Linked DNA regions of Stegostoma tigrinum. The protein of the gene in region 2 purifies or fractionates together with the protein of the main gene of each other region. This does not show direct contact. Links are inferred from orthologs where the notes say so. Each region holds a gene or a part of one and is shown on either strand. Other genes may lie near its edges.

Evidence for each region. The genes of interacting proteins can lie anywhere in the genome.
Region 1: the proteins of cdc26 (region 2) and nek2 purify together in Homo sapiens (affinity purification with mass spectrometry; 3 studies listed by BioGRID and IntAct, with this or other methods). This does not show direct contact. The link is inferred for Stegostoma tigrinum from reciprocal best matches to the Homo sapiens genes CDC26 and NEK2.

What each region holds. Positions count from the first base shown.
Region 1 is NC_081362.1:54,385,271-54,392,456, forward strand, and holds the start of nek2 (serine/threonine-protein kinase Nek2), read right to left. Parts: upstream 3,050-7,186; 5' UTR 2,837-3,049; coding exon 2,741-2,836; intron 1-2,740. UniProt on the Homo sapiens protein: Protein kinase which is involved in the control of centrosome separation and bipolar spindle formation in mitotic cells and chromatin condensation in meiotic cells.
Region 2 is NC_081382.1:5,537,441-5,544,591, reverse strand, and holds the start of cdc26 (anaphase-promoting complex subunit CDC26), read right to left. Parts: upstream 3,019-7,151; 5' UTR 2,942-3,018; coding exon 2,861-2,941; intron 1-2,860. Other genes in the region: prpf4 (U4/U6 small nuclear ribonucleoprotein Prp4), read left to right, coding at 3,748-3,899, 4,890-5,074. UniProt on the Homo sapiens protein: Component of the anaphase promoting complex/cyclosome (APC/C), a cell cycle-regulated E3 ubiquitin ligase that controls progression through mitosis and the G1 phase of the cell cycle.

The DNA.
Region 1 (7,186 bases), on a different chromosome or scaffold from region 2:
GTAGACGGCAGAAGTGTCGGAGGATGATGCATTGTATCTGGAGGTTGGTGGGGTGGAATGAGAGGACCAGGGAGATTCTCTTCGGGCTGTTATTGCGAGGGCGGGGTGCGGGCAAGACGTTCTCGACCACTGCGGGGGGGGGTGTGGCCCTTCAAGACGGAGGACATCTGGGACGAGCAGGAGTGAAATGCCTCGTCCTGGGAGCAGATGCAGCAGAGGCGAAGGAATTGGAAATAGGGGATGGAATTTTTGCAGGAAGGTGGTGTATTCCAGGTAGCTGTGGGAGTCGGTGGGCATCAGTTTGTAGGTGGTTGCCCACCTGTACTCTGAACAATGCGACCTTCTCTAAAACTATGCTGCTCCCGTTATCTTGTTCCGTGATGCCTTTAATCTCACAATCTCCTTTAATCTTTCCCTGATCTCCCCTTCTGATTCACTTGTCCTTCCTACTTTTCAACATCATAAAATACACTAATTTTCCTCCTCTCTTCCATTTCAAGAGTCAACAGATTTAAAACATTATCTGCACAGTTGATGCCAGAACACCTGAGTTTCTGAAGCACGTCATGTACATGCCAGCTCTTTGAAAGAGCTGATGGGAACTGCAGATGCTGGAGAATAAGCACATCTTTTTTTTGAAAGAGACATGTCACATTGCCAAACATCTTGCTTTAGAAGCAACCTCACACTCAGCATTCCTGATTATTTTATTTTCTTCCTCATGGGCCTCAGAGGTCTTAGCACACCATCACCATGCGTGGACCAAAGCAGCCATATACATGCAACTTAGATGGAACATTACTCATACACTACTTCAACCAATCCAAACATCATTTCCTCAGGTGTTTACCTGATTTTCCCGTGGTATCTATTTATCACAATGATTTTGTGCACTTTCTGCATTTTAACCAAACTAAAGAAACTTCCAATTTGTTACTAAGTTTATGGGTAACAATCTTAAATTCACAGTCCCTAATTTGGGTCTTACTCCAGAAACAGAACATTCCCGACATTTATCCCATCAAACCTTTTAATAATTTTAAGGTCAAGTAACTTACAAAAAGATGTTCAACACAGCAGGCCAGGCAGGATCAAAGGAGCAATAAAGTTGACATTTCAGGTTGGACCCTTCTTCAGAAATGAACCTTGTGGATTTGTTTGGGAAGCCAATCTGTTCTTTTATCTGTTAAGATACTCCTTTAGCTACAATCTTCGGATGCCTTTGGAAGGAAGCTTTATTCTCAGTCAGACTCCCCCATTTCTGAAGAAGGGTCCAGACCCAAAATGTCAACTTTCCTGCTCCTCTGATGCTACCTAGCCTGTTGTGTACCCCCAGCTCCACAGTGTGTTATCTCTGACTGCAGCACCGGCAATTCTTACTATCTCTTCAGCACTGTTCAATCCTTTTTTATGATTTATTATCTAATAGACCAGCATCACCCTTCTTAATCTTGCACCCTTGAAAATTTCAATTTAGCAACAATAGAAACAATGGTTGATGAGGGAAAATGAGCTTCTAACAGGTAATGCAGAGATTATAGGAAGGTAGCAACTTAGAACATCAAATTACTTCGCAAACAAATGGAATTGACGGCAGTCAAATTCTAGGACCTAATAGCCTACATCCTATCGTCTTATAGTGTGTGCAGCAGTGGATCCATTGGTTATAACATTCTGAAATTCTCTGGATGCAGAAAAGGTTCCAATGGAGTGGAAAAATATTAATACAATTCCCTTTTCTTTAACCAAGAGAGGGAAACAGAAAAAGTAAGAAATTACACATCAATTACTAAACCACTTGTCATTGGGGAATTGTCAGAATCCATTACTAAGAAAGTAATAAAAGGACATTTGAAAAATCAAAACCCAATCCATCAGAATCAACATGGTTTTATGAAAAGTAAATCTGGTTTAATTATTTTGTTAGAGTTCTTTGAATCAGTAGAACCAGTCTGGATAATGGGGATCCTGTAAATGTAATACATCTGGATTTCCAGGATTACGTATTTGATACGGAAGGGTTTAGAGGGATATGGGCCAAATGCTGGGAAATGGGACTAGATTAATTTAGGATATCTGTTCAGCATGAATGAGTTGAACTAACGGATCTGTTTCCAATTCAATTACTCTAACAAGGAGACTTGATTGAAACATGCAAGGTTCACAGAGGGGTTGATATGGGGATGTCACTTTTCCTTGTGGGAGAGCCCAGAGCCAGGTAATAATATCAAGGGGTCACCCATTTCTGACAAGGAGAAATTTTCGTCAGAGGGAGACGAATTCTTCACCAGAGGGCGGTCGCAATGGGCCATTAAGTATATTCAAGGCTGAGATGGGTTGTTAATCAGTTAAGGAATCAAAGATTATGTGGAAAAGGCAGGAATGTGGGATTGAGGATTCCATAATCGCCTTGGATGGCAGAACAGACTCGATGGGATGAATGACCTATTTCTGCTCCCACGAATAACAGAAACCGAATAGTGAAATTAGGTGTCCTTAACTAGTCAGGGCATGCGATGAGATCAGAGGGAAGATCATTTGATGAGACCTCTAGCATTGGGGTGCGGGGAGGTGGGGATCAGAATCTGCAGCTGCCCTGCGCCTCTCGGTCGAACCTGTGTAAACTGAAACCATTCCAGTGTGTTTTCAAATTTGCTCTGGCACCCTACAAAACAGCTCGCGCCAATGAGATGAACAAAACGCAGTTGAAATGCTCGTGTTTATTTAGATGGGAGCTCACCTTTCCGTCCGACTTCCGTCTGATCTTCTGACACCTGCCGTAAGAACCGGAGCCGATGCTTTCCAGCAGCTCATAATCTTCCAGGCGGGACGGCATTTTTTCAATACGAAGCGAGCGATAACGAGCATCGATGTACGGGATGGAGTTGAGTGAACAGTGCAGACTCAGCCACTGACACACTCACGTCCCTGTCTCGACGCGTGAAACAGCGTGTGTGTGACTGAGTGAGTGTGAGCGAGACCCTTCGGGCTGGGGTCGAGGAGGTTTCCCACCGGTCCCTGCCGGAAACGCGCTCAACCGACAAGAAGGCATGGGCCAGCCCCCATCCACTGGCTTCCTCAGCTCCATTCCGATTGGTCGATCGGCTTCGGCGTCCCGTCCTATGGTTGGCTCTTGCGAATAACAATCTGTTGCCTTGGCAGCGGCTGGGGGCGCGGGAACAGCGCGCGAAATTTAAATATGATCAGCGTTTGTTCTGGATTTTCGTAGTTCCATGTTTTCCAACTTGTTTTGTCTGTAATTCATGCAGGCAGTTAGTTTGTTGTTAGAGACAAAAATAACCCAAAAGATGCTGCTTGGCCTGCTGTGTTCATCCATCCCCACACATTGTTATCTCAATTTCTAAAGTAATAGATAAATAGAATCAGAATTTTACTATGTTTCTGGGGAAAATATTGGAATTTATTGGAAAAATGAAAAATTTCAGAAGTGTCAAAATATTTCAAAATAACAGTTAAATTAAAAAATAAATAAATAAAAGAAGGGGCCACTAAATACTGGTATTAAGCCTTTTGGTGGTGTAGTTCTTTGAGACAAAATAACCCAGAATGTATGTTGAAGCAGGTTCCTTGCCCAACCTCCATGGAGTCATAGAGATATGCAGTATGTAAACAGATCCTTCAATCCAACTCGCCCATGCCAATCAGATATCCTAAACTAGTGTAGTCCCATTTGCCAGTATTTGACCATATCCCTCTAAACCGTGCCTATTCATATACCGATCCAGATGCCTTTTAAATGTTGTAATTGTACCAGCCTCCACAATTCATCTGGCAGCTCATTCCATACACACACCACCCTCTACATGAAAATGTTGTCTCTTAGGTCCCTTTCATATCATTCCCCTCTCACCTGAAACCAATGCCCTCTAGTTTTGGACTCCTCTGCCCTGGGGAAAAGATCTTGGCTATTCACCCTATCTATGCCCTTCATCATCAGCCATGATTTAAATGGGGAGTGGATTTGATGGGCCGAATGGCCTTACTTCCACTCCTATGTCTTATGGTCTTATGATTTTATAAACCTCAAAAGGTCACTGACAGAAAATAGCCCCAGTCTGTTCAGCCCTTCCCTCTAGCTCAAACACTCCAACCCTGGCAACATCCTTGTAAATCTTTTCTGAACCATTTCAAATTTCACAACATCCTTCCTATAGCAGGGAGACCAGAATTGCATGCAGTATTCCAAAATTGGCCTAACCAATGTCCTATACAGCTGTCACATGACCACCCAACTCCCAAACTCAATGCACTGACCAATAAAGGCAAGCATACCAAAATGCCTTCTTCACTATCCTATCCACCTACTCCACTTTCAAGGAACTACAAAATTGCACTCCAAGGTCTTTTTGTTCAGCAACACTCCACAGGGCCTTACCATTAAGTGTACAAATCTTGCCCTGAATTGTCTTTCCAAAATGCTTCTTGGCCTATTGGCCCATCGATCAAGATCCTGCTGTACTCTGAGGTAACCTTCTTCGCTGTCCACTAAACCTCCAATTTTGGCGTAATCTGCAAATTTACTAACTCATATCTTCTATGTTCCCATCCAAATTATTTATATAAATGACAAAAAGCAGTGGAGCCAGCACTCAATCATAGCCTTCCAGTCTGTAAGGCAACCCTCCACCACCACGCTGTCTTCTACCTTTGAGCCAATCCTGTATCCAAATAAGTAGTTCTCCCTCTATTCCATGTGATCTAACCTTGCTAACCAGTCTACCATGAGGAACCATGTCAAATGCCTTACCGAAGTTCATATAGATCATGTCAGCAGCTTTTAAAACAGTAATTATTGCTCATAGAATTTGAGGAAATGAGCTCCAACACTGAAAATACCTCAAAAAAGGAACAGCTCTTACAGCCACAATATTAGACTTGACGCAATAGATGTCCTGATGGTTTAACTATTCAGCAATTTACATTACAAACAAAAAAGCATAATCTGGGCAATCTCAAATAGTTAAGTGATATTACCCTGGGTGAGGTTGTTGACTTGCCTCCCAAGCCCAAGTTTTCATTCAGCCATTCCATCACCATGCCAGACTAAACTGGGACAACATAACCGTAGTAGCCAAGCCAAACATAGACACATACAACAAACATATAGAATTGGGCCCCATACAGAACAAAACCAGAAATGGCACTACTCACTATAACAGGCCAGACTGTGTAAATTGCAAGCGGAGTAGAACAACATCACTTCATCTGAGGCCTCACTGATGATATTACCGAGCAAAGTATCAAAACATCTGAATGAAAACAAGCCAGCTCGACAAGCAAGTCAACAACCTCACCCACAGTCCAAGCTACAAATCTTTGCTAAAACCTTAAATATTACCTGGAGATTTCCGTGTTCCGTACAATATCTGACAAAACTTGAAATGAGAAGTAGCAACATCTATATTTTCTACTATTGTTCTGGAAAATAACTAACATTAAGAGAAATTCAAATTCTGATAATCACCACTGAAATGTAATTAACTATAGGACTTAGGCAACTTCTAACAATGCCAAATTTCAACATAAAATTTACATTCTAATTACTTACCCGACTTACACACTAACCTTTTGCAATTCAGGTTCAAAGAAATTCTAATCTCTCTTTATTGGAGCTTCTCTCAGTTAAATAATGTTCTGCATTTCTATTCTTCCTGCCAAAGTATACAACCTTACATTTTTCTCATATTATAGTTCCATCTACCAATTCCTTAACCATTCACTTTGCAGACTCTTTGTATCCCTCTTATTATATCAGTCAATAAGACATGAGGGAGAAACAGACCTTTCAGCTCAAGTCTGCTCTAATATTCAATGAGATATGATTGATCTGATAATCCTCAATATTTCCTGCCTTTTCCCCAGAACAGTTGATTCCGTTATTGGTTAAAAATCTATTTATCTCTGTCTTGAATATACTTAACTGTTTTCGGCCTCTATTGCTCTCTACGGTAAAGAATTCCACAAATTAACTACAATCTGAGAGAAGAAATTCCTGCCCATCTCTGTTTTAAATGATGACCCCTTATTCTGAGATTATGCCTTCTGACTCCAGACTCTTCCAAAAGGGGAAATAATCTTTCTGAATCTACCCTGTCCAGGCCCTAAGAATTTTGTATGTTTTAATAAGATTGCCTCACATTCTTCAAAATTCCAATGAGTACAGTCCCTCCTCAACCTCTCCTCACAAGGAAGTGCCTCCATATCCAGGATTAACCTAGTGATCATTCTCTGGAGTGCCTCCAATGTCTTTTTTCAGTAGATAATGGGGTCAAAATATATTACAGCGTTCCAGGTGTGGTATGACTACTGCCTTGTATAGTTTTGGAAAGATGTCTCTATTTTATACTCCATTCTCTTTGAAATTAAGGCCAACACTTCATCTGGCTTCCCTACTATCTTGTATGCTAGCTTTTTTGTGATTTGTGCAAAAGGATTTGTGAAAGAAAATTGTCTTTTCCAGAGGTGGAGGAGTTAAAAACTAGGGGGCATATTTTCAAGGCGAGAGAAAAAAGATTTAAAAAGGACATGAGGAGCAACATTTTTACACAGAGTAGTTCATATGTGGAATGAACTCTTAGAGAAAGTGGTGGATGCTGGTACTGTTACAATGTTTAAAGGACATTTAGATAAGTTCATGAATAGGAAAGGTTTGGAGGGAAGTGGTCTAAGCACAGGCAGGTTGGACTAGCTTAGTTTGGTAACATGGTCGGCATGGACTGGTTGGACTGAAGGGTCTGTTTCAATGCTGCAAGACTCTAAGACTTGCAAGTCATAGTAATTTTCTGCAGTCTTTTTCATTTAAATAATATTCGGCTCTGCCAACTGCCAAATTTTAGCTCATTTGCATAACCAGTATACTTTTAAAGCAACTTAAACAGGTTAGACTGCCCCTGGTTGAGCACTATAACACAAACAAGATAATCGGTCAACTTACAGATCAGAAATGGAATCTTATCAAAAGCAAATCAAAATATCATTACCAGGGTGATGATATACTCCAACCCCTAGGTGCCCACTGGTCTGTAAGGGCCTCCACCATGCCAGTGGTCACCACATGCCTTCTCTTGGTGGACAACCAAACATGGACATAACCACAGAAGAGGGGCAGACAGTCAGGTACTATAAGCCACTCCCTGGACCTGTTGATTGCCAGTTTGGCCAGGCC
Region 2 (7,151 bases):
GATAATTTTTTTATGATTCATGCACGAGGACTCCTAAAATGCTCTGTGCTGCAGCTTTCTGTAGTCTTTCCTCATTCAAATAATATTCTTTTCTTCCTGCCCAAGCATGTAGCCTCACATTTTCCCACATTATATTCCAACTGTCAAATGTTTGCCTACTCACAACTTGTCTATATCCCCCTTGCATCGTTGTCCCCTGTAATTTACTCACCTAGCTTGGACAAAGCAAATAAACTCATGTTAGAAAATCAATACATTTCTTCAGTGTGTTCAGGGCAGTTGTTTTACAACAATATGCACTAGAACCAACAAGCAGGCAGGCCATATTAGTTTAATAAATGAACCAGATATTCATTAAGAGCCTAATGGTGCAGGAACATTTACCAAAAGTGATTGTGGAATCTATGGTTTCCCTTTCTCAGCCAAAATTTATTTCCTTTGTAATGTCTCTCCTCTCTTTGCTCACCAGAGTTCATCTTGTTCGTAAGAGCCATCTTGTACTCCCACAGCCCTATTCCCACTATATTACTGACCACCAACTTTCCTTCCTTGCTCACACATTAACTAAAACCACTAATGGTTCTATCTCTTCTGGTTCTGACCCTCTCTCCTTCAAATGTGCCATCATATTTCCCTCATCAAAAAAATACCTTTAATTCCCGCTGCTTGCAAACTGCTGCCCTATCTCTGACCATCCCCATTCCAAAATCCTTTGAAGTGTTTGTGGCATCTCAAATCTGTGCCCATCTTTTCCAAAACTTGAATCCTTCCAATCAACACTGCAATGGCTCTTATTCAAGTCACAAACAACACCTTCTGTGATCACACCACAGGTAAACTATCTTTCTTCATCCTGGCTGTGGCTTTCAACATGGTAGCCATCTTCCTCCAATTACTTTCCTTTGTTGTCCAGTGGGTGAGAGTAGACTGGCCTGATCCCATTCTTATTGCATCATAGCCAGGGAAACCATTGGCAATGACTTCTTTCCATTCCTACAGTGATCTCAGATGTCCCCCAGAGATCTATCTTTGGCCCCCTTCTATTTTTCACTGTACACTGTCCCTTGGCAATCAGTTTCACATCTATCTCACTACTACCTTACTTGAACCCTTCACTGTCTTGACTTTGCCTTCTTGCTACTCTGACACCCAAGATTAAATGGAAGCAGCGATATTGTGCTCCTGAGATGCTGCTTGGCCTGCTGTGTTCATCCAGCTTCACCCTTTGTTATCTTGAACTCTTGCAGCAACTTGGTTTTACTGCCGTCTCTGTTGCAATGTCTGACTCCATTACTACTTCAGCTCTTCTGCCGCTGAAACCCTATCCATGCTTGTTATCTTCAGACTTGACTATTGTAATGCATTCCTCGCTGCTCTCCCACATTCTAAACACTGAATTTGAGGTAACTGAAGTCTCTGATGCCTGCAGTCTAACGTACAGCATTCACCAATCCCTCTTGTACTAGCTGACCCACACAGACTACTAGTTAAACAATACCTTTATTATAGAAAATCTTCATTATTGTTTTCAAATCCCTCCACAGCCTGGACCCTCCTGACGTTCATAACCTTTTCCAATTCTGAGACCTCCAAAATATCACTGCACGTCTAATACAGTTTCAATATCCCTAATTTTAAATCATTCTGAAGAGGACAGGCAGGAATTTTTTAAAAAAAAGGTTCTTCAGGGTAGTAATGTGATAATGGGAACTGCAGATGCTGGAGAATCCAAGACAACAAAGTGCGGAGCTGGATGAACACAGCAGGCCAAGCAGCATCTCAGGAGCACAAAAGCTGACATTTCAGGCCTAGACCCTCCATCAGAGAGCATCCTCTCTGATGAAGGGTCTAGGCCCAAAATGTCAGCTTTTGTGCTCCTGAGATGCTGCTTGGCCTGCTGTGTTCATCCAGCTCCGCACTTTGTTATCTTCAGGGTAGTAATATCTGGAATACTTCCAGTGCCATGAGCTAGTGAGGATAGGAATAGAAGGATACAGCAGATAAATGTATGGCTGAGGAGCTGGTGATGGAGAGGATCCACAATTTTGGATCACTGGAATCTCTTCTAGGGTACAAGTGACCTGCATAAGGATGGATTGCAGCTGAATTGGAAAGGGCCTAATACTCTGCTGGGGAGATTTGCTAGATTTCCTAGGGAGATAGTGAGAAAAGAGGACAGTCCCCAAAACTGGTAGAGATGGGAAAAGGAACAGGTCAGACAGTCAGGAACAAAGCAGAAAACGAGCTATTACGGATGAATTAAACTGCATTTATTTCAATGCAGGAGGCCTAACAGATAACGCAGATGAACTGAGGGCATGGTTGGGAACATGGGACTGGGATATCATAGCAACTATAGAGACGTGGCTCAGGGATGGACAGGGCAGGATGCTTAATGCTCCAATGTATAGATGCTCTAGGAAGGATATAAAGCGTGTGCAGGGGATGGGGGTGCGAGCAAGTGGCAGCAGTATGGGGGGGGTGGGCACTGGGTGTGAGTGCCTGTGCCAGGGTGGGGGTGGTGGGAGTAAGTGCAGGGGGTGTGCAAGTGGCAGGGGTGCATGTGGGGTGTGGGGGTGTGGGGTATGTGTTGGGGGGTGGGGGAATGTGGTGTGTGTGGTGGTGGTGGGGGGGGGGTTGGTGGTGGGGAGGGGGGGGTTGGTGGTGGTGTGGTTCGGGTCTCCTGCCGCCTGACTGAAGTGATTTCCAGGTCCCTTTGTCGGTGCCGTGTCCAGGCGATGGTGGGTCTGGCTCTGGAGGCGGACGGTGAGGCCCAGGCCCAGGCCTAGGCCCCGCTGAGGTTCTGTCGGAGCGAACCTGGCGCCAGCCCTGGCCAAACTCCTGTCACCTTGACACTCACCTCCAACTCCTTCTTCATACTCTCAAACTCCTCAATATCGTCCAGCTTCAGTTCGAGCCGAGTAGGCTTCCTCCGCAACATTCTGCCGCTAGAAGTCACGTCCAACTTGGTCGCTTCAGACCTTACAGGCGACACCTGGCGTCACCACGGCATGGCACACTGGGACATGTAGTTTCTGAGCCGGCGGCGTGGAAATGACTACAACACCCAGCAGCCTGTGCGCCGCCTCCTTACCCTTTGCCCCGGACGCAGTCAGTGTCGGCTTAACGACGGTATAGGAGCTGGTAAGAGGCCGCGCTGAGGCTGGGGGAAGGAGAGATAGAGACAGGAGATAGCCTAAAGCTAGGCCTTGGCTATTGCCGTCAACTCCCCGTCCTTAACCGGGCCTTTATATTGTCAGGTTGGGGAGAAGTCGGTCATTGTGGCTGCTTGTGGGGGAGGGGAGGCTGTACTGTATCAGAAATCACACACAATGCTCTACTTGTGGCTCATAACTTTATTCAACTTCACCGTAAATCCCCTGCTTTTTCCATCAACATTTCTATTTAGGGAGTTCATAACTCCCATGTGCTTGGTTAATCACGCCCTGTGTATGCTGCCACCTGAAGAGTTTAGTGCACGTTGGCACCAAGTCCTCTCCCCTCCCCGTCTCTCTGCGCGCTCTTTAGCACTGAGTCATTAAGTATCTATTTCCTTCTCCCAAACCGTTCTTCCAAAATGAATCGCTTGTTAAATCCCAATCTGCCGGCCTACAATTCTCCGACTGGTAGTTAGAATCATAGAATTCGTACCGTGTGCCAGCATTCGGCCCATCGAGTCCACACCGAGCATCCCTCCCGTATCATCCCCATCTCCCATGGCTAACCCACCTAACCGGAACATCCCTGATGGGCAATTTAGCACCCACCCACCCTACACCTCTTTGGAGTAGGAGGCAGCCAGAACACCCGGAAGAAACCCGTGTAGACACAGGGAGAACGTGCAATCTCCACAAACTCGGGACCCTGGCGCTGAGAGACAGTGCTACCCTGTGCAATTGGTAACATTGTTATCTTTAGTACTGTTTCTAAGTTTGGTATCATTGACAAATTTGGAAATGTTAGTCTTTCAATATTCAAATAACATTTAAAAACCCAAGCAAAATATCTATAATATACCTACAAATTAATCTTTTATAAGATGGGTATGATGACCCTCAAGTTCACCTTAATGTCAACATCTGCTTTTACTTTTGAAATATGTTCAGCTTTGCCACTCAGACCAAAGTGGATAATTTCACATTTCCATCTTCTGCTGTAAGGAACAAGAGATCATCTGATGAGTGATAATGGAAACTGCAGATGCTGGAGAATCCAAGATAACAAAGTGTGAAGCTGGATGAACACACTGTGTTCATCCAGCTTCACACTTTTTTATAAGAGATCATCTGATACTTGTTTGTTATCTGTAGTTAGGAATAGAAGTAGATCATTCACTCCTTTGAGCCCTATTGCACTTACTATTCATTTAGATATTTTTTAATCAATGTATTCAGACATGCTATGGCTAATCTGTACCTCAACTCCAAGATCTACCTTTGCTCAACTTTTCTTGGTACTTTGACAATATAATGATCTTATTAATTCAATAGCTCAAATTGCCCTAAGGTGCATTGCTTTTGATTTGGGGAGACAGTTCCAAATTTTCTGTGATCCTTTTTCTCATCTGCCAGAGCCTTTCTTGATTTTATTCCATGGATGCTTCTGTTGTCTTTGATTCTCTCTCATTTCCTGCTTGTTCCTGTGAAGCTCCAAAAGCATGATCCAAAGATTCTCTCTCCTGGGCTAGAAATCAACACTCGTTCAGTTCTTCCTGTTCCAACTTCTTTCCCAAGGCATCAAAAACCAGAATTCCTATGAGCAACACCCCAATTTAAGCATGCAGATGCATGTACTTGGAGATTAGAGCTAGAGTCAAACAACCTGTCTTTCTCATCTCTTATCTCTGGTCAAAACGGTTTGTTAATTTTATGCATTTTCTACACCCACAGTTTCCTGCCCCATATTACAAGAATGTCTGATGATGATGATGTTCCGTTGCCTAAGAAATCTCGGATTTATTATGGAAGCCTTGAAGAGAAGGAGAAAGAGAGGATTTCCAAAGGAGATGCAGGATACCTGGGGAAAGAAGCTGTGAAAGCTGGGGTAGAAGCTGGACATATTAATATATCCAGCAGTAAGTGATGATGCTTCAGTTTCTTTAACTGTGTCATTGAATAATTACTCCATCTGATTGAGTCAAAAAATGTGGAGCTGCTGAAAAGATTGCTGAGAAATTTTAGAAAGCTGGTTGGGAACAATAGCAATAAGTAACAATTTTAGATGAATTGGGCTTTATTTTGGATGCAAAAGTGCAGAAAGTCTATAACGTTTGAAACACTTCTGGAAATGGCAACAGTTGTAATTAAGAAATTTATGTGCAACAAGTTCACACAAATAGCTAAGTGACGATGGCCTGATAGTCTGATCTTATAAGGTTAAATGATTTTCTGGATACCGTAGAAATATGCTGTATGTTGACTCTTCAGTGGGGATGCAAGGAAGTCCAAGTTAATGCCCAATACCTGCAAATAATGAATGTACAGTTAACAGATTTTCAAAAGAAATTGCATTGAAAATATTCAGGCTGTTCAAAGCAAATGTTGAGAGCATTTTATAGATCTCTTATCTGTGTGAAGTTGCGTATGTGACAACAATTATTGACAGTATTAATCCCTTACCCTACACAACGTGCGAATGGCTGAAATCAAAAAATACACAGCAAAGCTTTGCATTTCAAAATCCCACATTCTCTGAGACTGCTAACAATTTCTTTGCACATGCATTTCGTTTTCTGAAACAGTTGATGATTTACATCCATCCACTTAAGTTTAGAAGTCTTTTTTTCGCCTCTAGCATTTGTTTCAAACCAGCAAGGTCAGTTCAGAACCACTCTGTCACATTTTGTATCCCGTTGTGAACCATTGTCTACGTAACATTCTCTGGGTATACCATTTTCAGGAGTCTTATTGCACAGTATCTGCTTAAAATATTGAAGAAATAGAATCCGATATCCACAGCCTCCATAAAAACCAGTGTTTAAGCAGCCAGTGTACTTTTATAAACACAGGTATAGGAGTAGGCAATTCAGGACCTTGAGCTTGTTCCACGCTCTGAGAGATCATGTCTGATAGAACACAGAACATAGAAAAGTACTGCACAGTACAGGCCGTTCGGCCCACGATGTTGTGCCGTGGAATATTCCTAATCCAAAATTAAAATGACATAACCTACATTCCCCTCAATTCACTGCTGTCCATGTGCATGTCCGGCAGTCGCTTAAATGTCACTAATGACTCTGCTTCCACGACTACCACTGGTAAACTATTCCATGCGCTCACAACTCTCTGAGTGAAGAACCTCCCTCTGACGTCTCCTCTATACCTTCCTCCCAACACCTTAAAACTATGACCCCTCGTGGCAGTCAGTCCTGCCCTGGGTAAAAGTCTCTGGCTATCGACTGTATCCATGCCTCTCATTACCTTGTACACCTCGATCAGGTCACCTCTCTTCCTCCTTCTCTCCAGAGAGAAAAGTCTGAGCTCAGTCAACCTCTCCTCATAAGACAAGCCCTCCAGTCCAGGCAGCATCCTAGTAAACCTACTTTGCACCCTCTCCAAAGCCTCCACATCTTTCCTATAATAGGGCAACCAGAACTGGACACTATATTCCAAGTGTGGTCTCACCAGGGTTTTGCAGAGCTGCAGCATAACCTCACGGCTCTTAAACCAGATCCCCCTGTTAATGAAAGCCAAAACACCATATGCTTTCTTAACAACCTTATCCACCTGGGTGGCAACTTTGAGGGAGCTATGCACTTGAAATCTGCGTGACTTAACTCCATATACCTGCCTTTGGCCCATATCCTTTAATGCCTTTGCTTAACAAAAATGTATCTATCTTAGATTTAAAATGAACAACACATCCAACTGCCCTTTTAACAATTATTTTCAGTTTCTTAGCCTCCCAAGCAGAAAGGAAATGGTTTCTTTTCTTACCCTTAAGAAATATTAAGAATTCATCTGTTCCGGAATACCCTCTAGGAAAGCTAACAAGTGAAACATTGCTAAAATGACTAGTTTCATGTGTTTTGGGTCACCCACGAATAGAGAATGTCAACTTAGGTATGCATTTCACCTGAGTTAATTTTTAAAAATGTTTCATTTACCTTTAAGACATTCTCATCTTCAGGATGTTTCATTGTAGGACCTGAC